Linked DNA regions of Saccharomyces cerevisiae S288C. The gene in region 2 interacts genetically with the main gene of each other region. Each region holds a gene or a part of one and is shown on either strand. Other genes may lie near its edges. The genes, in order: SDH9, HYP2, SUB1 and RPL22A.

Region 1 (6,572 bases), on a different chromosome or scaffold from region 2:
CGGTCGTAAAGGAAAACCGGATATTATGTTACCCGCTTCTCCTACGGCATTACTAGTTCCTTTTTTTTTTTTTTTCAATTTTTCCATTGAGTTTTCCATAATCGGTACAGCAGCGTTTAATTTCATTACCTTTTTCAGAACAATGGGGGAGAGTTGTCAAGAGAATTGGCATACATAGAGAGGGTTAGCTGTCGTGCGTTTGTATTTTTTCGCTTATGCAACCATGAAGGATGTCTTACAATGGGCGATTGACCACTACGAGACAAGAGACCAACTGGTGCAGAAGGGAATTTGGAAAGGTGAACTCTACCATGACTCTATCTTTAAAGAAAATAGTAGAGGCTGGCTCTGGAAAGCTTTGCTTCTGTGTGATGAAAACAACAACTGCTTGTTAACTGATAACTTTAAAGGTTTGGACCTTAACCAGTTCGGCTTGGTGCCAGTGCCTATGCTGGCAGATGGCGACAACTATGACGAAAATCATAATGCAAATGTACCTAAAAGGGTCTTGCACTCGAACGTTTCCTCCTCAGTGGGAATCAGGAGGCTGACTCCCGTCGAGGCTGTTGAAAAACATCCCTTGTCTGATGACAATGACAAAACTAAAGGTTCTTTGTCCAAGGGAAGTGATGAAAAGCCGTTGACACTGAGGGAAACTCTGGAAATTATAGATTTGGACCTCTCAAGGATAATGCTTGACGATATATTTCAGGAACCCAAGGTTCATGCTCAAATGAGACAACTTTTGTACAATTACCTGCTTATACATCAAAGCGAACACCTACAGTATAAACAAGGGTTCCACGAAATATTAAGCGTCATTTATCTGCAATTATATCACGGTACAGATCTCGATAATACCGATTTGCAAAACGTTCTGATTATCTTTAACAAGCTAATGAACCAAATCGAACCGATTTTTTATAACGAAGAAAATTTGATTAACTGGGATAAGAGAGTATTCACGAAAATCTTTAGGATTTGTTTGCCAGACTTGTTTTCAAAGGTTTTTTACCAACCACCAAAAACGGGCAGCGGGAAGAAAAAAAACGTAGACCATCTGATTCACTCCAACCTAATCTGGCTCATCCGATGGACAAGGTTGTTATTTTTAAGAGAATTACCCTTAAAATATGTGCTAATCGTTTGGGACCACGTCCTGACGTTCAATTATCCCTTGGATATTTTCATTGCATGCACTATCATCACCCTTTTGTTATCCATTTACGATGAGCTTCACGAACTAGTGAGCCAAGGTGACTATGAACATACGAATAATAACGATGAATTTGTTGAATTGATTTTGCATTTCAAGAAAATTTTTGAAAAGGAAGATGCCAGTAAAGATGATGAAAAGTTTTTAGACCTGTGTAAGGTCACTGGAAATTTATGTGAATTGTGGTATGGAAAAAATTACGACGATATGAGATTGATTTGCGACACTTTTATAAATGCGAAGTTCGGCATAAAGACTAGTGATGTTTTAAGTATGGAAACAGCAAAGTTGACTATTGATCCTAATAGACAATCACTCGAAAACAAACTGAGGGAGAGGGTAAGGCAAACAATTTTGAAGAACAAAAAGAAAATAAGCCAATAAGTTTTTCTTGTCAATTACTCGTTGTTATTTGTTTGAAATCCCAGCCTGCACACCCGCACGACAAAATCAAAAAAAAAAAAAAAAAAACCCAGCTACCACCAACAAACAGATAGCCCACATGTCATATTTCCTAATGAGCTGGTTTCCCTCTGATATTTTTGCATATTGCAGCTCGACGTATATTGTACTTCAATGTCTTGCATAAAATTATATAGCATAATAGATAAGGTGTAAGTTGACAGTAAACGAGTACTATTGACCAAGAATCAATGAGAGAGATAGAGAGAAAAATAAGAAAAAAGGGAAAGATCATTTTTGCCAGATCAATAAATAAGTTTGCCCTCCAAAATAAATAAATAAATAAATAAGAATTAATAGGATCTGACAGCTGGAGGGACTGGGGCGCATTCATTCTCATCTAAAGTATGTGCGATTACATTCCTGTACTTGATTTTTACAGGTGTTGATGTCCCCTTTTGCCATGATAATGTGTGCTTTCTCCAATTCACATCATCTCTTTTTGCATAGTCCTCTCTCGCATGAGCACCACGAGACTCCTTTCTTTTGGAAGCAGAAACAGCCGTTTGTGTGGCACAAGTAAGTAAATTTTGCAATTCCAGAGTTTCTACGAGATCAGAATTCCAGATCATTGACTTATCAGAAACGTGCACATCCTCAAATGTCTTGTCCACTTCAGTAATATTTCTAACACCTTCATCTAGAGTGTCTTGCGTCCTGAAAACAGAAACATCTTTTTGCATTGTCCTTTGCATGTTCAACCTGATTTGAGAGGTTTTCAGTGAGCCGCGAGCATTTCTTACTTTATCCAAATTAGCAATTGACTCGTGCCCGATGTTTGAAGCCAATGGCTTATGAGGCAAGCCAGGCTGTAATGTGTCAGCAATGGTATTTGCAACGGCGCGACCGAAAACGACTAAATCCAGTAGTGAGTTAGCGCCTAATCTGTTCGCTCCATGAACCGATACGCAAGCAGCTTCACCACACGCCATCAATCCTGGGATGACCTTATCCTCTCCAGTTTCCTCGTCAATGGTCAATGCTTCACCAGTCCATTTTGTGGGAATGCCTCCCATATTATAATGGACAGTTGGCAAGACAGGAATTGGCTCCTGGGTGACATCGACACCCGCAAAGACAGCAGCTGTTTCAGATATTCCCGGTAGCCTTTCCTTTAGTACCTCAGGTGGTAGATGGCTTAATTGTAAAAGGATATGATCCTTGTTTTTCCCGACACCTCTGCCAGCCCTGATTTCCATGGTGATTGCTCTGGAAACAACATCCCTGCTTGCCAAGTCCTTGGCAGTAGGAGCATAGCGTTCCATAAACCTTTCTCCTTCAGAATTCAATAAAAATCCACCCTCACCACGGGCACCTTCAGTGATTAGGCAGCCAGACCCATAAATTCCTGACGGATGAAATTGAACAAATTCTAAATCCTCTAGTGGAAATCCAGCGCGAGAAACCATAGCATTACCGTCACCTGTACAAGTGTGAGCAGAAGTGCAAGAGAAGTAAGCTCTACCGTATCCGCCTGTCGCGATGACGGTCTTATGTGCTCTGAATCTGTGAATTGTACCGTCCTCCTGATTATAGGCAATGACACCCACAACCTCGCCATTATGGGTCAACAAATCCATTGCAAAGTATTCAATAAAGAAGTGTGTATTATTTTTCAGCGCTTGTCCATACAATGTATGAAGCATTGCGTGACCTGTTCTATCTGCCACCGCACAAGTCCTATAGGCCTGTCCACCTTTACCAAAATCTTTGGATTGTCCCCCAAATGCTCTCTGGTAAATCCTTCCATCTTCAGTCCTCGAAAAGGGCATACCGTAATGTTCTAGTTCAATGACAGACTTAGGTGCTTCTCTTGTCATGTAATGGATTGCATCTTGGTCTCCGAGCCAGTCAGAACCCTTGACAGTGTCGTACATGTGCGATTTCCAATCATCTGGATGCATATTTCCCAGCGCAGCATTAATTCCACCCTGAGCAGCCACAGTATGTGACCTTGTTGGAAACAACTTGGATAAACAAGCAGTCTTGTATCCAGCTTCAGCCAAACCGAAAGCTGCTCTTAAACCTGCACCGCCAGCGCCTACCACCACACAATCATATTCATGGTCGATAATATGATATTTGGCCGGCGGTTTCGATTCAGATTTCACTTCCCCAATTTGACGAACAACAGAGGAAGAAGTGAAAGTTCTTTGCAAGATGTATGATTTTGTTATTCCTTTTTTCAAAGATAACATAATTTATTAGCTCACGTGTATACATGTATATAGATATACGTATTTAGGCTCCTTCTTTTCTTATTTTAGCAGATAATTATTTAGAAAGTATATATAAGAACTTAGCTCTGACTAGAGTGAAAGAAATTTGCCGAAGTGTCGGTTGGATTGCCTTTTTTGCCACCTTGTGGAACCTTACTGTTCCGTTAAAGGGAAGACCCTTATATTCTAAAGGGAGCCACATAAGTCCGGAGAAGAGGAGCGCGACCTGAGAAAAGCGACTTGAGCGGCTAACGGGTTAATAAAGCTTACGGAAAATTAATGCATTGCAGCTTCCTATGAGTTTTGTCATTCTTATAGAAGCCGAAAATTCAAATAGATGATTTCTTGCGTGGAACCATAGGTATTCACACTATCTCTTCACAAAACTTGTTATATTGCAAGTATCTGTTGCCTCACATACGTACTGTATCAATCTGGATCTTAAAGTAGTAACTACAACAGCTTCAAAAAAAATCTCCGCGACGGGGAATTGAACCCCGATCTGGCACGCGACAAGCGCCCATTCTGACCATTAAACTATCACGGAAGAAACAAAGCACTCACGATGGGGGTCGAACCCATAATCTTCTGATTAGAAGTCAGACGCGTTGCCATTACGCCACGCGAGCTACTGTTTGTTGGAAGATTGGGATTAAAGGTAAACTATGCTTTGATTTCACCAATCTCGCAAACCAACGTTGAAAATCTAAACTCTCCTACTACATTTGCGTTTGGTAGCAGAATGTTGAGGAATAATAACCAATTACCATTTAGTTGACTAGTATTTATATGTCAACACTGTTGGAATAAAAATCAACTATCGTCTATGTTGGAATAAAAATCAACTATCATCTACTAACTAGTATTTACGTTGCTAGTATATTATCATATACGGTGTTAGAAGATGACGCAAATGATGAGAAATAGTCATCTAAATTAGTGGAAGCTGAAACGCAAGGATTGATAATGTAATAGGATCAATGAATATTAACATATAAAATGATGATAATAATATTTATAGAATTGTATAGAATTGCAGATTCCCTTTTATGGATTCCTAAATCCTCGAGGAGAACTTCTAGTATATCTACATACCTAATATTATTGCCTTATTAAAAATGGAATCCCAACAATTACATCAAAATCCACATTCTCTTCAGTCTATCAACTAGTAGTCATACTACCAATATATTATCATATATGGTGCTAAGATGATGGCATAAGTTATGAGAAGCTGTCATCGAAGTTAGAGGAAGCTGAAGTGCAAGGATTGATAATGTAATAGGATAATGAAACATATAAAACGGAATAAGGAATAAAACGGAATATTAGTATATAGAAATATAGGTTCCATTATGAGGATTCCTAGATCCTCGAGGAGAACTTCTAGTATATTCTGTATACCTAATATTATAGCCTTTATCAACAATGGAATCCCAACAATTATCTCAAAATTCACCAATTTTCATCTTTATCAAAAATGGAATTCCAACAATTATTAAGTTATAACCAAAATTAAAAATTCACATATTTCTCACAAACAAAATCTTTACAATCACTTATTGATCAGATATAATCCTGCAAAATGGAAAGAAATTATTAATTATGAAGAAGGGTACGGCGGCCAAGAGAAATTTCATCCACATTCTATTTAGAGCACATTAAAAAAATCTCCCGGGGGCGAGTCGAACGCCCGATCTCAAGATTTCGTAGTGGTAAATTACAGTCTTGCGCCTTAAACCAACTTGGCTACCGAGAGTGATAAATGATTAATAACCAAAAAATTTTGTTTCATCATACAAATTCAAAGAAAGTATTGTTTCATAAGAATGTTGCTGAAAGGACTTTGAGTGAATTGTGAACAGTTTGATAATTATTGGTCCAAATGGCGACATTGAAGACACAGTGTAAATTATTCAATGATGATTTGGCCTGGTTTTTACAAATGATTTTATCGACGTCAAGAGGATACAGTTCAAGAACGGTTAAGCGACATTGACAAAAAATGCTCAAAAACCACTGGTGCAACTTTACTGGTGGCAGTTTTTTGAAGTGAAAAGGAACTTTATTCTGGAGCGGAAGAAATTCAATAAATGTCACCACAATACCGATGCTATTCTTAGATGATCGATAAAATTAAGTACTATCTGTCGGTTTCTCAAATAACAGTATAAATATTTAGTTCACATTTAGAGACGGCTGAATCGTAACAAAATATAGTTCTTATAGATCTAAAGTACGAACACTCCTAATGTATCGCTTATATTGAAGTTTGCTGTGAATCTAGGACGCGTCTGCTGAAATATGCTGAATCAGTTTCCGGTGAAAGACTTTAATTTTGATATTTACCTACGTTATTTACAAGTGAATTGAAATATTCATCAACGTTATGTGTAACTGTCAATATTCTCCAAAAATCCTTTGAATTCCAAGCCGATTAAATCATTTCTATCACAATCATAAATCATGCCCTTTTCGACTTTAATTGTTAAGCCTTTATCTTTAATCTTCACTGAAAATTTAGGCCCCGAGAAATATTTCCATTGTTCGCTCTGTAAGGTGTTCATAGCATCTTTAATCTCATCGTTTATAGATTTAAACTCGTCACAGTAATATATAGGTATTTCGCCGTCAACTTTGAATGTTTTCTGAAAACGCTCGGATACCACTGCAAT
Region 2 (5,384 bases):
AAGAACCATGGCACCAGCCTCTAGTCTTCTTTCACCTGTTTCCCTATCAGTAGTGACCGCTGCGGTCAAACCGACACCGGAAGAACCTCTACCAGTAGTAGCAATTGCCAGTGATGCTGTATTCAACACAAACCTTAGCAATTGGGACTTGGCAGTGGATGGATCACCCACCATTAGGATATTGATGTCACCTCTTAAATGCGAGCCATTTTCTAAATTTTTCTCCACACCTCCCATGAGCATCAATAAAATGGCTTTCTTTATATGGTCATGTCCATAAATAGAAGGCGCTAAAGATTGAGACAAGATATCGAAAATGTCCTTTTTTTTGGATAGTTTATTGATATTTCTTATATCGAAATCTGTCAACATTTGTCTCGCAGCGACACCCGTGGATCTGGCGTGGAGAGGATACACCGTATTACCTAGGATCAGAGTTTTGAACCCGATCAATGTATTAGAGTTGGACTGGTTCATGCCACCAGCACCAAGCGACTTGAATACCCCGACAACGTTAACTCTGTCACCTGGCTTGGTCTTGTCCACAAGGTCGTCATCGAGAATGACGTCAATGGACCTGGGAAGTTGGCCAGCGGGGGCCATTTCGGGCATTTCTTGCACAGTGATACGCTGATGGTCTATGAACGTACTATACCCATATTCGGTGGTTAGTTTGTTACCTTCAGTGTCCTCCGTTGGATAGATGGCAGGCGTTGGGATGCGGGTGGTGAGAGTTGTAGTAGCATCTGTATAATCTCTGTAATGGAATCTACCAGTCTTTGCCGCGTAGTGGACAGATCTGATAAGCTTTGGCCTGACCAACGAAGTCTTAGTTACGATACCCTCAACAGAGACCAGTTTGTTTAAATGTTGTGCCGTTAGAGTACGAGGAGACAATGCGTGTGCACCAAATGAGCCTTTGAACGAAAGCTTCCAAGGATGGCGAGACGATACTGCAGAGGCATTGGGATGTGGAACATCGTCCATGGAATCTGCTAGGTCAGTAAGCGCCTTTTCGGCAGGCGGGATGAAGTATGCTGGTTCGACTAAAATGCCCGACCAGAACGACCTGTCGAATTCTCTCAAGTCATCAAGCGAGATGATAATCCTGTGAGGGAGTATATTCAATGAGGTGGACGATGCTGCTTTCTTTTCCTTTTCAAGATCATCACCGTCGTCATCACCTAGCAAATCTCGTTCGTCTGCGTCATCTTGATCATCGTTGTAGTTGGCCGCGTTATTGCTGTTGTAAACTTGTATGGACCTTACAGAGTCTCTGTATGAGGTGAAAGTATCTAAAAACTCTTGAAATCTGCGCACTCTGTCACCAAACACAGCGTCTGGAGCGAAAAAAGTAGTAGCGTCTCCATCAAATCCCGTTGAGCCTTCCATAATTGACGTTTGTATCTTTTTGGTGCGCTTATAGTGGAGTTCAATACGAGCAGTAGGATGAAAATGCTTCAAGGAAAAGAGCGTAGGCCTTTTCAACTTGAAAGAAGATTAAGAACCTATCTTTCGAGTTTTGACCAAATTTTTCTTTTTTTTCCTAAAACACGAGTTTTTACCCATTTAGGAAAAGTAATTGTTTCTTCTACCGCCTCGATCTGACGAACAAGGGAAATTGAAAAAAAAGAGAAAAATAACGACAACTGCAGGACTCGAACCTGCGCGGGCAAAGCCCAAAAGATTTCTAATCTTTCGCCTTAACCACTCGGCCAAGTTGCCATAACTCATTGAAAATTCTGTTTCCCACATAGGTCAAAACTAATATTTCCCTTGGCCTGCTCTTCAACCTCCCCCGTTCTGAGAGTTCCCTTTTTTTTTTTTTTTTTTTTTTTTTGAGGGGGAAGCGCCGGATTTGCCACCGACCGGCTGCTTGCAGCCGGTAGATATGCGCACATGAAAATCATCCTCCCCAATGAATTACACTGCCTGCATAAGGAAAAAGAAAAGTGTGAAATACGAATAAAAACAAAGTATATTATTGCTATATAGATGATAAATAACAAAATAAATAGAAAATAAAAAAAAGGATTTATTTGTGTATGCTTTAGGAGAACGAAAAAAAAATTGCAAAGAAAAAAACCCGGTTCAGCGAAGAGTACATGATGTGATGGAAGGGGCGTCGGAGTTTTTTTTTCTTTTTTCATTTATATCCCATGCCATGATGTTAACCGGTTTAATCGGTTCTAGCAGCTTCCTTGAAGGAGATGGCGGCTTCTTCACCCATAGCGGAGATGATGGTAACCATCAAGTCCTTACCTTCATCAAAAGCAGTTTGCAAACTGTCACCCAATTCACCTTCTGGAGCCTTGACATCATCCTTAGTGTCACCGTCCATGTTCATCAAAGACAAGAAACCGTCATCAATGTCCAACAATTGGTATTCGTTTCTCTTGACAACTGGAACTTCCATGTTGTGAGTAGATGGAGACAAATCTTCCAACTTCTTACCAGTGAAGATATCAATGGCAACCAAATGGACTTTAGCGTGACCGTGCTTACCAGTCTTAGAAGTGGACATGTCGACAATCTTACATGGTCTACTCTTGATGACAACGAAACCGTTCTTTCTCAAGGCAGAACATTGCATTGGGTAGGTGGCGGAGGAACCAGCGTCAGCAGTTTCAAAGGTATGTTCTTCGTCAGACATTGTATATATGAGTTGGTATTTGTGTGTGTTTGGGAGTCTATGAGTAATTGGCTACAGAAGTAGAATCGTTAGAAAGAAGGAAAGGAAGCAATTGATAGAAGGAGAGGAATTTAGGAAATGAGGGATTCCAATGTCAAGATATGGCAAAAACCTTGTGCATTATATAATCGTGGAACACGACGATCAACGCGGCCAAAAGCCGATCGACGACGACGACGAAAAAAATTTTTATTACCACTGTTCCTTCACCTTCGAAACTTTTTTTCGGGCGACGGCGTTTCTTTTAGCTCCTGCGGTATGTGCGGTGCGGGAGGTCCCTTGTCGCCTCACACGGACCCGATATAACGCTACGGAATACATCGAGGGGTATGGGTGGATGATATCACTGCAGCAAGGTCTGGGTGTTGCAGAATTTTACCGGCCTTGGCCCCTCAGCGTCCAGCTACAGCGTTATACTACTCCAAGTCGCCGTTCCCGTTTTGCTGTTCTCACCCCTCAGAGAAAATGCCACCAGAACGAAGCCAATGGTCAGGACTTATCGTTACTTATACTGTTGAGCCGGATATATCCGCTGTGCTCTAATACCAGCCAAACGAGAAGGGTAGCGGCAAGAAAGGGTAAACTTTCATGATGAAGTTAGCTAGTTCCTTTTACGATTGCTACTATCTCGTTCAACTTGGCCTGCGCTGTTGATGAAAATAGCAGTGACTGCAGAGAATAGAAATGAACCGGGCTCATCTGGTCTAGTTGCCTTCTTTTTTTTATTTTTTTTCATTTTCCTTTTCTTTTCTTTTCTTTTCTTGTCTCACTATGTTGGTTTAATCAATTCGTAATCCCTTTACCAACGCATTGTGTTCAATTTTCCTCTTGTGTGGGGTCGCCCGCCTTGTCTCATCGTGAAAAAATTGCGTAAGATGAAATCATGAAAACATGAAATAAAAAAAATAAATAAAAATAACTACACGATTCAAAAACGCCAAGATCTGTTAGTAGAGACAGCAAGCATTGCAAAACCATTCATCACTCAGTTGCTAGGCGAGTGTTGGTGCGATTTACCCTCATCATCTTTTTTTCGCTCCATTAAACAGTTCCTTGTGGCTTTCATGCAAAGTGTACGTCCATAATGAAGTATAATAACAGAAAACTCTCGTTCAACCCTACCACAGTAAGTATCGCTGGAACGTTGCTTACGGTGTTCTTTCTCACAAGACTCGTGCTTTCGTTCTTCTCGATATCGCTATTCCAGCTGGTAACTTTCCAAGGAATCTTCAAGCCCTATGTTCCAGATTTTAAAAATACTCCCAGCGTAGAGTTCTACGACCTACGAAATTACCAAGGCAACAAAGATGGTTGGCAACAGGGTGACCGCATCTTGTTTTGCGTGCCACTGAGAGATGCTTCTGAGCATCTTCCCATGTTTTTTAACCATCTGAATACCATGACATATCCGCACAACCTGATTGATCTGTCGTTTTTGGTGAGTGACTCTTCGGATAACACCATGGGCGTGTTACTATCCAATCTACAGATGGCGCAATCGCAACAAGACAAGTCCAAAAGGTTTGGTAACATCGAAATCTATGAGAAGGACTTCGGCCAAATCATTGGTCAGTCCTTTTCTGATCGTCACGGGTTTGGCGCCCAGGGCCCCAGAAGAAAGCTGATGGCCAGGGCTCGTAATTGGCTTGGGTCCGTGGCCCTGAAACCATACCACTCCTGGGTTTACTGGAGAGACGTGGATGTCGAAACCATCCCCACTACCATCATGGAGGATCTAATGCATCACGACAAGGACGTCATTGTCCCCAACGTCTGGAGACCTTTACCAGACTGGCTGGGAAACATTCAACCCTACGATTTAAATTCATGGAAGGAATCAGAAGGGGGTCTTCAATTGGCGGATTCCCTAGACGAAGATGCTGTCATTGTGGAAGGGTACCCAGAGTACGCCACTTGGAGACCTCACCTGGCATACATGAGAGACCCAAACGGTAATCCAGAAGACGAAATGGAATTGGACGGTATTGGAGGGGTCTCGATTCTCGCGAAAGCTAAAGTATTCAGAACAGGCTCACACTTTCCTGCATTCTCCTTTGAAAAGCACGCAGAGACAGAAGCATTCGGTAGGCTCTCCCGCAGGATGAATTACAATGTCATCGGCTTGCCCCATTATGTCATCTGGCACATCTACGAACCTTCCAGCGACGACTTAAAGCACATGGCTTGGATGGCTGAAGAGGAGAAGCGGAAACTAGAAGAAGAGAGAATTCGCGAATTTTACAACAAGATCTGGGAGATTGGATTTGAAGATGTCAGAGACCAATGGAACGAAGAAAGAGATTCAATCTTAAAAAACATTGACTCCACTTTGAACAATAAAGTCACTGTAGACTGGTCTGAAGAGGGAGATGGCTCGGAGCTGGTGGACTCAAAGGGTGACTTTGTCTCACCAAACAACCAACAACAACAACAACAGCAACAACAACAACAACAGCAGCAGCAGCAACAGCAACAGCAACAACAGCTCGACGGCAACCCGCAGGGGAAACCTCTTGATGACAACGACAAGAACAAGAAAAAACATCCTAAAGAAGTTCCATTAGACTTCGACCCTGATAGAAACTAGGCTCGGTTTTTTAGTGACCTACATATGAAGTACGAATTCATATAGTTGTACATATATACCGATAATAATATCAAACCTCTATTCTTTGGTCTTTAACTTTTCTTT
Region 3 (5,751 bases), on a different chromosome or scaffold from region 2:
CTGAAAATGGTTTGCAACGCATCAATCTTGAGCATGTCGCTACTAAGGTCACAGGAGACAAGACAGTTTCACCCGTGTTCTCATGAATTGAGAGAATGCGCATCTCAGGCTGCCAAATACTGTCAAGAACAAAATGTCGACTTAGCCGATTTGGCCACAAGATACGCGATTTCGGAATGGGTAGGAAAGGGACCCGTTGTTCTTGGAGTCAGTAGCATGGAAGAATTGAAACTTGCTCTGGATAATTACGAAATTGTGAAATCGAATGGCAACAGATTATCTTCTAAGGACGGACAACTAGTAGAATATATCCAAAAGAATATTTTTAAAGAACATTTTAATGAAGAGTGGTCTTCAGGTATTCCTCATCCAGAAATGATATAATCACCCCAAAAAGAAAAAAAATTTGTCAAATTTTAGTTTATATTCATTTGTTCTATTTACATATGTAAGTTTTTCCTTTTCTTCTTTTTTAGTTTTTTCCTTTTAAAATTTCTTCTTCTGCAATTCCTCTAAATATTTTTGCTTTCGTCTTAACTTTTCCTTCAGAATGTCATCTCCAGCCTTCATTTTGTCATTCCATTCCACTATTCTTCGCAATATACTCATCACGGTGAGTATACATATATAAAAGTAGATGATGAAGCCTGAAATGTAAACATTCCTTTGGTTATATGCCCTTGAAGCCAGTGCATCCACTGGGGTTACACTATTTATTATATAGGGATTTTTCTGGTTGCGGTACGTAGACACTCTGATCTGTGACCTTTTCCATGAATCGATGAACAAAAGACCAACGAAGATCATGATTCCAACCATATAAGTTCTGAATTTCTTATTAGTACTTATGATACTGTAGCGTATATACAGCCACCTTCTCATACGCTGTGGAAGCGGAAGTACCAAAATAAACAGAATGGCCATTTCGATGACCAGTAACGAAAAGAGTACTGCCAAATAAACACCCATCACTAACTCGACTTTGAAATTTTGCTTAGTATTTTTCTATTCACATAATTCATGCTCCAACGAACACTCAGCGTATTTATTTACTTCCAGGCGGCTAGCTTTTCTCAGAGAAGGCCAGCTGTACATATATTGCTCTATCAACCCTTTTTTTTCCCTTGTCTTTTTTCCAAGAAAACCATTTTGCCTAATTGACACAAGCCTACACAACCAAGTTAGCCGTTAAACACAGCAGACGTATCTCGATCTCGTCAATGATATATACGTGTTTTTTGGAAGAATGAGATGGGATAGTAATACACCAAAAATGGGCTGATCATCCGATGTTATTATCAACCATTGGTGGATGGTCAAGACAGCGGCGCTAAATGCCACAGCCTCGATCCGGGTAATACTTATTTTGAGTTTTTTCAGCTGGGACGAATTATCATCACTAACAAGGACAATGAGTATAGCACTGCACACACACACGTTTTATCTTTACGTTATACGTAATTTTTCCCTCCTTTTAATGATGAGAATTTATTAATACATTCATTTGAATGGGAATTTTACTTTTACCTTCCTCAAATTTCTTTATCAAAACTCAAGTTTTCCTCTCTTTTCATCTCCTCTTCCTCTCCTTTCTTTCTTTCTCTCTTTCTTTTTCTCTCTTGGCTTGCCTTCTGCTCTCTATTCTTGATGAAAATTCTTAATTTGATCCAGGGAACGATAGGAAGACAAGAGAAGAGGTTGTAAACGTGAATTTTGTAAAAGTCCCCAATCAAAGAAACACTTTTGGTTGCCCACTTAAGAAAGCTATTTAATATTAAATCTTTCCGTACACATCAATTTTTCGACATATATACAAACACAAGCGCTATGTCATATTACAACAGGTATAGGAACAAAAGAAGAAGCGATAATGGTGGAGGAAACTTAAGTAACAGTAACAATAACAATGGTGGTATGCCATCTGGACTATCCGCATCAGATGCAATTTTTGATCTGGGTAAAAATAAGAGGGTCACGGTAAGACAATTTAGAAACATAAATTTAATTGATATCCGTGAGTACTATCTGGACTCATCTACAGGCGAAATGAAACCTGGGAAGAAAGGTATTTCGTTGACAGAAGATCTATACGACGAATTGCTTAAGCACAGATTGAATATTGATGAAGCCTTGAGAAGGCTAGGATCCAAGAGACCAAAAACCAAAATGGTTAGACTATTGTCCGACGACGAATATGAAGATGATAACAATAATGACAGTACTAATAACGACAAGGATAAAAACGGGAAGGACAAGAACAGCCCAAAGAAGAGGAGAGAAGATAAGTCCAAAGCATCTAATGAGAGTCATGACTTGGAGCCACGTTCAAAGAAGAAGAAACCTGCTCCACCTACTCTACTTCCACACGAGGAAAACATTCAAAACGCTGAAAGAGAAGCCAATGCTACTTTGATCATCCCAGGCCAGGCAGGTAGGAAACAACAAGAGGAACGCAAGCAAAAGGAAAAAGAAGAGGCAGAGGAGGCAAAGGCAAAAGCAGTTGCAGAACAAGAGAAAGAGGCAAAGGCAAAAGAAAAGATAGCTGAACCTGAACCTGAACCTGTACCCACACTTCAAGCTAAAAAAGAAGATATTGTCTCCAACATAAACGAGTCAAAAGATGCAAATTCTAGTGACGAAGAATTTGCTCAAAGCTTGGAAGCTGAAATGAACAAGGCTGAAGACGACATAAGTGAAGAAGAATAATAGTCCTGGAAGTTGAGCTTGCTTATGTCAACGTCTTCCATCCAACGAGCTTATTAGAGAATAAAAAAAAAAAAAAAGAAATAAAAATATATACTTTTCTGTTTGTCAAATTCATTTTAACAATTCATATAATCAAATATGTGATTTATAATAACCAGACAAAAGTTAATCTTGTACATTTCAGTATAATATACTATCAAAAAAAAATTTGCGCTTACTAAGCATTTTCCCCGTACAACTAGTACACAGTGAGAATGGAAGAGGGTAAAAATTCATTGTTCGGAAAAATAATATATTAAAGGCAAGCCAAAAAAAAAAAATTTAGACTAAGAAAAGAATAAAGATATCTTTGCAAGGCAGAAACCCATTCGATCAGCACAAAAATGACCACGAACGATACATACGAGGCTACTTATGCCATTCCCATGCACTGTGAAAATTGCGTGAATGATATAAAGGCATGCCTAAAAAATGTCCCAGGAATCAATTCATTGAATTTCGATATAGAGCAACAAATAATGAGCGTGGAAAGCTCAGTAGCCCCTTCAACCATCATCAACACCTTGCGAAACTGTGGTAAAGACGCCATCATAAGAGGCGCCGGGAAGCCGAATTCTTCCGCGGTCGCTATCTTAGAGACCTTTCAAAAATATACTATAGACCAGAAAAAGGACACCGCCGTGAGGGGCCTAGCAAGAATCGTTCAGGTTGGAGAGAATAAGACTCTTTTTGACATCACTGTAAATGGCGTCCCAGAGGCGGGAAATTACCACGCCAGCATTCACGAGAAAGGCGACGTCTCCAAGGGCGTGGAATCTACTGGTAAAGTTTGGCACAAGTTCGACGAACCCATTGAATGCTTCAACGAGAGTGATTTGGGCAAGAACTTGTACAGTGGGAAGACCTTTCTGAGCGCTCCCTTGCCAACATGGCAACTTATCGGCCGCAGCTTTGTCATTTCCAAGTCTCTGAACCACCCAGAAAACGAGCCTTCCTCCGTTAAGGACTACTCATTTCTGGGAGTCATTGCGAGAAGCGCTGGTGTGTGGGAAAATAATAAACAAGTGTGTGCGTGTACCGGAAAGACTGTTTGGGAAGAGAGAAAAGATGCCTTGGCCAACAACATCAAATAGAACATCCAAGATAGCACAACGTAGCGTAATACAGATATAACATAATATAGTATACTACATCATAACCACGTGATGCCGGACATGTACATACGCATGTGGCAATATGCCAAAGCCGGTTTCCAATCCTACTTCATATTGCCTTGTCCCTCCGGTTTCGCCGGCAACAACGGCCCGGAACGTACCTAAAGAGGTATTTCGCTCTTGGTATCCGTACCTCACTTATCTCCAGCACCTATCGTTCCTGGCCAGACGGCCGGAGTTGATCTTTCGTCTTTCTCCGGAAACCACGGCGTTCAGCTACGCATTCCGTAGCAGCCAAGCCGGTTCTTGACACCATCTGTCTACGTCATACATATCGGCTCTTTTTGTCTCTAATAAATTAAAGAGAGCCATTTATACGAAAAAAACACCTTTTTACGAATTTCAGAAAATCAGAATGGGAAAAACAAACTGCGGAAAAGAAAAACAAGACACCGAAAATATATACAATTTCCCCTCTACAGACAACATATAGTATTGACACTTACTTATTTATATTTGTTGTTTCCAGCGAAAGAGACAGGTAATAAAGACAAATAGCAGAACAAAGTGGTGTTTGTTGCCTGATATCAGCACCAGTCAGACTTGGCCCTTTTACTTTTATCGCGTAAACCGTGTTCCCTTTTTTTGCCTTCCTGTTTGGTAATAGTAAGAAAGCAGCACGAGCTCAACAAGACTTCCCAGTTAGAAACTGTGTTACACGAAAATAAAACAGACGGAAACCTTGGAGATAACAGAAACTAGTCTGTAATACGAAAAGTTCAAAAAAAAAAAGATATTGCTTTTTTCTTCCTTACTTTATCGGTATCTTCCTCATATTTTTCGGGAAGATCACAACAGTAGTAGCAAGGTATTTCATACGCCAAGAGGCTACCTTTTTTTCTTTGGTTTTATTTGCTTTATTTTTTCTTTCTTTTTTCAACTTTTATTGCTCATAGAAGAACTAGATCTAAAATGACGGTCGACCATGATTTCAATAGCGAAGATATTTTATTCCCCATAGAAAGCATGAGTAGTATACAATACGTGGAGAATAATAACCCAAATAATATTAACAACGATGTTATCCCGTATTCTCTAGATATCAAAAACACTGTCTTAGATAGTGCGGATCTCAATGACATTCAAAATCAAGAAACTTCACTGAATTTGGGGCTTCCTCCACTATCTTTCGACTCTCCACTGCCCGTAACGGAAACGATACCATCCACTACCGATAACAGCTTGCATTTGAAAGCTGATAGCAACAAAAATCGCGATGCAAGAACTATTGAAAATGATAGTGAAATTAAGAGTACTAATAATGCTAGTGGCTCTGGGGCAAATCAATACACAACTCTTACTTCACCTTATCCTATGAACGACATTTTGTACAACATGAACAATCCGTTACAATCACCGTCACCTTCATCGGTACCTCAAAATCCGACTATAAATCCTCCCATAAATACAGCAAGTAACGAAACTAATTTATCGCCTCAAACTTCAAATGGTAATGAAACTCTTATATCTCCTCGAGCCCAACAACATACGTCCATTAAAGATAATCGTCTGTCCTTACCTAATGGTGCTAATTCGAATCTTTTCATTGACACTAACCCAAACAATTTGAACGAAAAACTAAGAAATCAATTGAACTCAGATACAAATTCATATTCTAACTCCATTTCTAATTCAAACTCCAATTCTACGGGTAATTTAAATTCCAGTTATTTTAATTCACTGAACATAGACTCCATGCTAGATGATTACGTTTCTAGTGATCTCTTATTGAATGATGATGATGATGACACTAATTTATCACGCCGAAGATTTAGCGACGTTATAACAAACCAATTTCCGTCAATGACAAATTCGAGGAATTCTATTTCTC
Region 4 (5,412 bases), on a different chromosome or scaffold from region 2:
AAGAGGTTTGGGCGAGTGCGAGCTACGATTCTTGCCGGAAACAACAACCACTTCATCTTGATCTCTTCTGTTTATTTGTGAAAGCTCCTTTTCTTTTTTTTCATTTTCTTTGCAAATCGAAAAGTTCACACTGATTTTTTATTAGTTCTTTTAAGTGCCCAACTTGACAGGAAAAAGAAACACCCCAAAGGGAATACCAGTGTATGTAAGGCTTGAATTATACGTATGAGCATGCGTTTGATGGTTGTCGTCAGAGCCAGTGCTCTGAGAGTGTCCCAGATGACTACAACCCTTGTATAAAAGTACATCTTCTTGATTATTTATCACGACACACGAGGTGACCGATTATTCAGAATCGGTACCAAAAAAGAAAGAAAATTGAAGGAAATGAAAAATTTTCAATGTATTTCTCGAAAGCCTGGAGTTGATCAAATGTTCAAAAAATAGGGCAGAATAGCATAACACACATCAATAACACCGAGCCAGCATGCCTACCGTCTCCGTGAACAAGCAGCAATTATTTGATCTTCTAGGCAAAAACTACACTTCCCAAGAGTTCGATGAATTATGTTTTGAATTCGGTATGGAAATGGACGAAGACACCACAGAGGAGGCCTTGAAAACCGGGGAGGAGCCGGAATTGAAGCTTGATATCAGTGCCAATCGTTACGATTTGCTTTGTATCGAAGGTATTTCACAGTCGCTGAACGAATACTTGGAACGTAAAGAAAGACCTGACTATAAATTAAGCAAGCCAACCACTAAGTTGATCATCGACAAATCAACGGAGCAAATTAGACCTTTTGCTACCGCTGCTGTATTGAGAAATATCAAGCTTAACGAAAAATCTTACGCTTCTTTTATTGCCTTGCAAGATAAATTACATGCCAATCTATGTAGAAACAGAAGCTTGGTTGCCATGGGTACTCACGATTTAGATTCAATTGAAGGTCCATTCCATTACAGAGCTCTACCACCAAAGGACATCAAGTTCGTACCATTGAATCAAACCCAAGAGTTTACTGGTGACAAATTGATCGAGTTTTATAAATCTCCAGAACAGAAAAACAACATAGGGAGATACGTTCACATTATTGAGGATTCTCCAGTCTTCCCAGTTATTATGGACAGCAAAGATCGTGTTTGCTCCCTGCCACCATTAATCAATAGTGAACATTCGAAGATCTCTGTGAACACCCGTAACATTTTGATTGATATAACCGCCACCGATAAGACCAAAGCCGAGATCGTTTTGAACATATTAACTACAATGTTCTCACGTTATTGTGACGAACCATTCACGGTTGAGCCTGTAGAAATTGTCTCTGAACACAATGGCCAATCCCGTTTGGCGCCAAACTTCAACGATAGAATTATGGATGTCTCCATTAAGTACATCAACTCCTGTCTTGGCCTAGATCAATCCGCTGATGAAATTGCTCATTGTCTAAAGAAGATGTCGTTGCATGCCGTTCAATCAAAGGAAGACAAGGACATCTTGCACGTTGACATTCCGGTAACTAGACCTGATATTTTGCACGCTTGTGATATAATGGAAGATGCCGCTGTCGGTTATGGTTTCAATAATTTGCCAAAGGGTGAGAAATTATCCAATGCCAACTTCATTGCCAAACCATTACCAATCAACAAGGTTTCTGATATTTTCAGAGTTGCATCCTCTCAAGCCACGTGGGTTGAGGTTTTACCATTGACCTTATGTTCGCACGATGAAAACTTTAAATTTCTAAGACAATCCGACAATGGTGATTTAGCTGTCAAATTGGCCAACCCAAAGACTTTGGAATACCAAGTTGTTAGAACCACTTTATTGCCTGGTATCTTAAAGACAGTCAAGGAAAACAGAAAACATTCCTTGCCAATCAAAGTCTTTGAAACCGGTGACGTTGTATTTAAAGACGACAAACTAGAAAGGAAGGCGTACAATGAACGTCACTGGGCTGCCATCTACGTGGGTAAGAATTCTGGGTTTGAAATCATTCAAGGGTTATTGGGTAAAATCATGCAAACTTTTAGAACAGAGTGGATTGCAGACTACGGTGCTGCTGCTTCTGGCAGAGGTTACTGGATTGAAGAAGACGATTCTGTGAAAACCTACTTCCCAGGTAGAGGTGCCAAGGTCATGTTCAGATCCAAAGAAGGCGCTGAGCCAAAGCAAATCGGCCACTTGGGTGTCTTGCATCCTGAAGTCATGATGAATTTCGACGTTCCATTCGCTGCATCCTTTGTAGAGGTTAATGCCGAAGTCTTCCTATAATGTAATGTTCTAACAAAAATTTTTACTGATTTATAAAACTTATATAGATAGATAGACACATATATATATCTATATATAGAAACACAACTAAAGTTTACCATGTTTTATATAATATTACTACCGCTACTGAGTAAATGTTTAGCTTGTACTTAACTTTCAAAGACAGTTTTTTTGATAAACATCAGTACATTTAATAATACATCCATACATTTATGTTAATTTGTTTTTCCTTTCCACCTCAGTGCGCTTCTCTTTTGAAAAAATCCTCAACAGGCCACGCGAACAAATCTTACCGAGAATTTCCTAAAATGTTTCAAACTATCATTTAGCTGCATACAATATGTACATTATTAATTGAGATTAACAACTTTACCTGTACTTTACCGTTATCAAATTATAAACCACCAAAACAACAGATTAAGAAACAATGGCCCCAAACGTATGATACTTTAAAAGGAATCCACGCCCGATTACGAAGTCTATGTTTTACTGTTATTGTAATGATTGATTGTACGCGAATAACAAGGAAGATAGTAAAACCAAAAAAAAAAAAATAAAAATGTACGAAACGAAGAAGCGTCTATGTGTTTAGTTGCTTTTCTGTATTTTAAAAATTCACTACTTGAACATTGAACTCTATATCGACTCCCTTCTTTTTATCCGTTTCTGAATGTTTTTTTGTTTGAGATTGTCATATGTGATTGTTAATAGCAGTAGGCAACTTTGTGGTTTCGGGATTGAAAGAAAATCGTGAAATATTCGTTTTTTACTAACATTACTGTTCTGAAAATTTTTACTAATTTTCAATCTTTAATTTTTTTGATATAGACTTCCAGAAAGCAAAAGATTGCCAAGACCTTTACCGTCGATGTCTCTTCTCCAACTGAAAACGGTGTCTTCGACCCAGCTTCCTACGCTAAGTACTTGATCGACCACATCAAGGTCGAAGGTGCTGTCGGTAACTTGGGTAACGCTGTCACTGTCACTGAAGATGGTACCGTTGTTACTGTTGTTTCCACTGCCAAGTTCTCTGGTAAGTACTTGAAGTACTTGACAAAGAAGTACTTGAAGAAGAACCAATTGAGAGACTGGATCAGATTTGTCTCTACCAAGACCAACGAATACAGATTGGCCTTCTACCAAGTCACTCCAGAAGAAGACGAAGAAGAAGACGAAGAATAAATTCATTAATATTATTTTAAATAGAGCATAAGTTTTGTATAATTAAAATCTTCTAAACCTAATAAATATGTTTAATGAATGATTCAATATCAAAAAAAGAAATCCATTGGGCCCTTAGTGCATTTTTATTTTTTTTTTTTTTTTTTTTTTTTTTCTCTTTCTGAATTAGAGTACATCTCATCGCAGGGTCTCTTTTTGCACGTTTTTGATGTTGCTTATGAGACGCTTTGCCTTTTTAACTTCTTCAGTATATTTTAAATATATACCAATTTATTCACAATATCATTACTCTTCTCAGTTTCCAATTAACATGAATCCTAAAAAAGTGGCCCAATTGCCCGTTCACAATAAATCAACGCTTCCACCACAGGAAATAATCGATCTTTTTAAAATAACATTCTTAGAAGAGCTATATCCAAAAGATCAAGACAATGAAAAGTCACCGTTAACTGAACAAATACAGGCGGTAAAATCTGACCTTTATAACAGAGATTACAATGCTGCTTTCAATAACGACTCGAAAAGAATAGCATATTGTTGTCGTTGGTCACCGTCCAGAGCAACAAGTTACGCATCAGTATTTGCACATTTCCCTGAGCTTCTAAAGATTATCAGATGCGAAATTGATGACAAGGACTCAAATGTGCTCTGCATAGGTGGCGGCGCTGGTGGTGAGCTGGTTGCATTAGCGAGCATATTCACTTTATCGAGAGATTTTTCGTCTAAATTTGCCTCTGCTTTGAAAATAGACAACGAAGTAAACAAAAAGCCTAGAAATTTAAACATACAACTAGTAGATATCGCCGACTGGTCCACAGTTGTTGAAAAGCTAACAGCTACAATAAAGTCGAAATGGCTATATGGTGATTCAGAAGCAGAGTCATTTAACGTCAACTTTACCCACAAGGACTGCCTACAAATGACAGAGCCACAAGATATCAAGATATATCAAGGCCTCGACCTAATAACTCTACTTTTTACTACAAATGAACTATTTACACAGAAAAAAGTGGAGAGTATAAAATTTCTGCAACGGTTAAACGAGAACTGTGCCCCAGGCTGCCATCTTCTCATACTAGAGAGTGCAGGAAGCTATTCTCACATTACCATCAACAACAAGAAGTTCCCAATCCAATTTCTTATCGATACTATCTTAGTAGGCAATAGAAAGGACAAGGGAACGACAGGTCCATGGTCACTAGTATCCGAGAACGACAGTATTTGGTATAGAATGGACCCAAAACTCGACTACTCGATTCCATTGGAAAACATGCGATTCTTTTACCGTCTTTATGTCAAGAACTAACAGGCTTTATGACGTTTTACTGTTCTCTTTTCATTGTTCTTTTCTCGAAGAGTTTAGAAAAATTTTTTTTCTTCTCATCCACACCGAAAAAATATTAATAAGAGAGTTGAAAATTCGATTTGGAATCAGAAATAAAGAAGGGGCCACGATCAAACAAGACTCATTTCGAATAATTGTAAAAAAAAATTAGCACAAAACAATATGACCGTTCCCAGGAATCGTCCCATGGCACCATTTGGCACCATTATCAAATCAAGAATAAAACAACCCCAGTTTTATTGGTTTATAGGCCATTTTTTAACCATCTTTAACTTTATACAATTTCATCTTTCAATCACGTCCAAACAAAACCAATTGTCATGCTATAGAAGATCATTATTTTACATATCCGTTACATATGCCATCGTTCTTTACCAGTTTTTCAAAAGTGACCAGTTAAAGTTCAATTTTACGCTTTTGCGCCAAGAGATGAAGAAATTGGATAATTTGCAGTATTTTGCCATGCTATTCATACTTTTTCTCTTATCACAGTTTAACATCATAATCAGCGGCTCGTTATACAGTCCCGTTATCTTTTCAATCTTTCACTTCCTGAACTATTTTAAGGAAAACCTTTTGCCATTTTTGCCTTTGATACCACTTAATTTGA

The links.
Region 1: mutations in HYP2 (region 2) and SDH9 together harm fitness more than expected from each alone (negative genetic interaction), as found in Saccharomyces cerevisiae (2 studies listed by BioGRID).
Region 3: mutations in HYP2 (region 2) and SUB1 together harm fitness more than expected from each alone (negative genetic interaction), as found in Saccharomyces cerevisiae (one large-scale study listed by BioGRID).
Region 4: mutations in HYP2 (region 2) and RPL22A together harm fitness more than expected from each alone (negative genetic interaction), as found in Saccharomyces cerevisiae (2 studies listed by BioGRID).

Annotation. Positions count from the first base shown.
Region 1 is NC_001142.9:353,328-359,899, reverse strand, and holds SDH9 (succinate dehydrogenase SDH9), read right to left. Parts: upstream 3,877-6,572; coding exon 1,972-3,876; downstream 1-1,971. Other genes in the region: GTPase-activating protein GYP6, read left to right, coding at 224-1,600; AIM22 (putative lipoate--protein ligase), read right to left, coding at 6,285-6,572. UniProt on the Saccharomyces cerevisiae protein: Probable minor catalytic subunit of succinate dehydrogenase (SDH) that is involved in complex II of the mitochondrial electron transport chain and is responsible for transferring electrons from succinate to ubiquinone (coenzyme Q).
Region 2 is NC_001137.3:82,945-88,328, reverse strand, and holds HYP2 (translation elongation factor eIF-5A), read right to left. Parts: upstream 2,654-5,384; coding exon 2,180-2,653; downstream 1-2,179. Other genes in the region: MCM DNA helicase complex subunit MCM3, read right to left, coding at 1-1,392; MTC7 (Mtc7p), read right to left, coding at 1,731-2,150; UTR5 (Utr5p), read left to right, coding at 2,784-3,284; ANP1 (Anp1p), read left to right, coding at 3,777-5,279. UniProt on the Saccharomyces cerevisiae protein: Translation factor that promotes translation elongation and termination, particularly upon ribosome stalling at specific amino acid sequence contexts.
Region 3 is NC_001145.3:345,599-351,349, reverse strand, and holds SUB1 (chromatin-binding transcription coactivator SUB1), read left to right. Parts: upstream 1-1,827; coding exon 1,828-2,706; downstream 2,707-5,751. Other genes in the region: D-arabinose 1-dehydrogenase (NAD(P)(+)) ARA2, read left to right, coding at 1-384; YET2 (Yet2p), read right to left, coding at 487-969; copper chaperone CCS1, read left to right, coding at 3,090-3,839; stress-responsive transcriptional activator MSN2, read left to right, coding at 4,833-5,751. UniProt on the Saccharomyces cerevisiae protein: Plays a role in the release of TFIIB from the transcription complex during transcription initiation. Binds to TFIIB and specifically inhibits the formation of the TBP-TFIIB-promoter complexes.
Region 4 is NC_001144.5:260,492-265,903, forward strand, and holds RPL22A (60S ribosomal protein eL22 RPL22A), read left to right. Parts: upstream 1-2,702; coding exon 2,703-2,714; intron 2,715-3,103; coding exon 3,104-3,457; downstream 3,458-5,412. Other genes in the region: REX2 (Rex2p), read right to left, coding at 1-56; FRS1 (phenylalanine--tRNA ligase subunit beta), read left to right, coding at 488-2,275; BMT6 (25S rRNA (uracil2843-N3)-methyltransferase), read left to right, coding at 3,666-4,763; PER33 (Per33p), read left to right, coding at 4,965-5,412.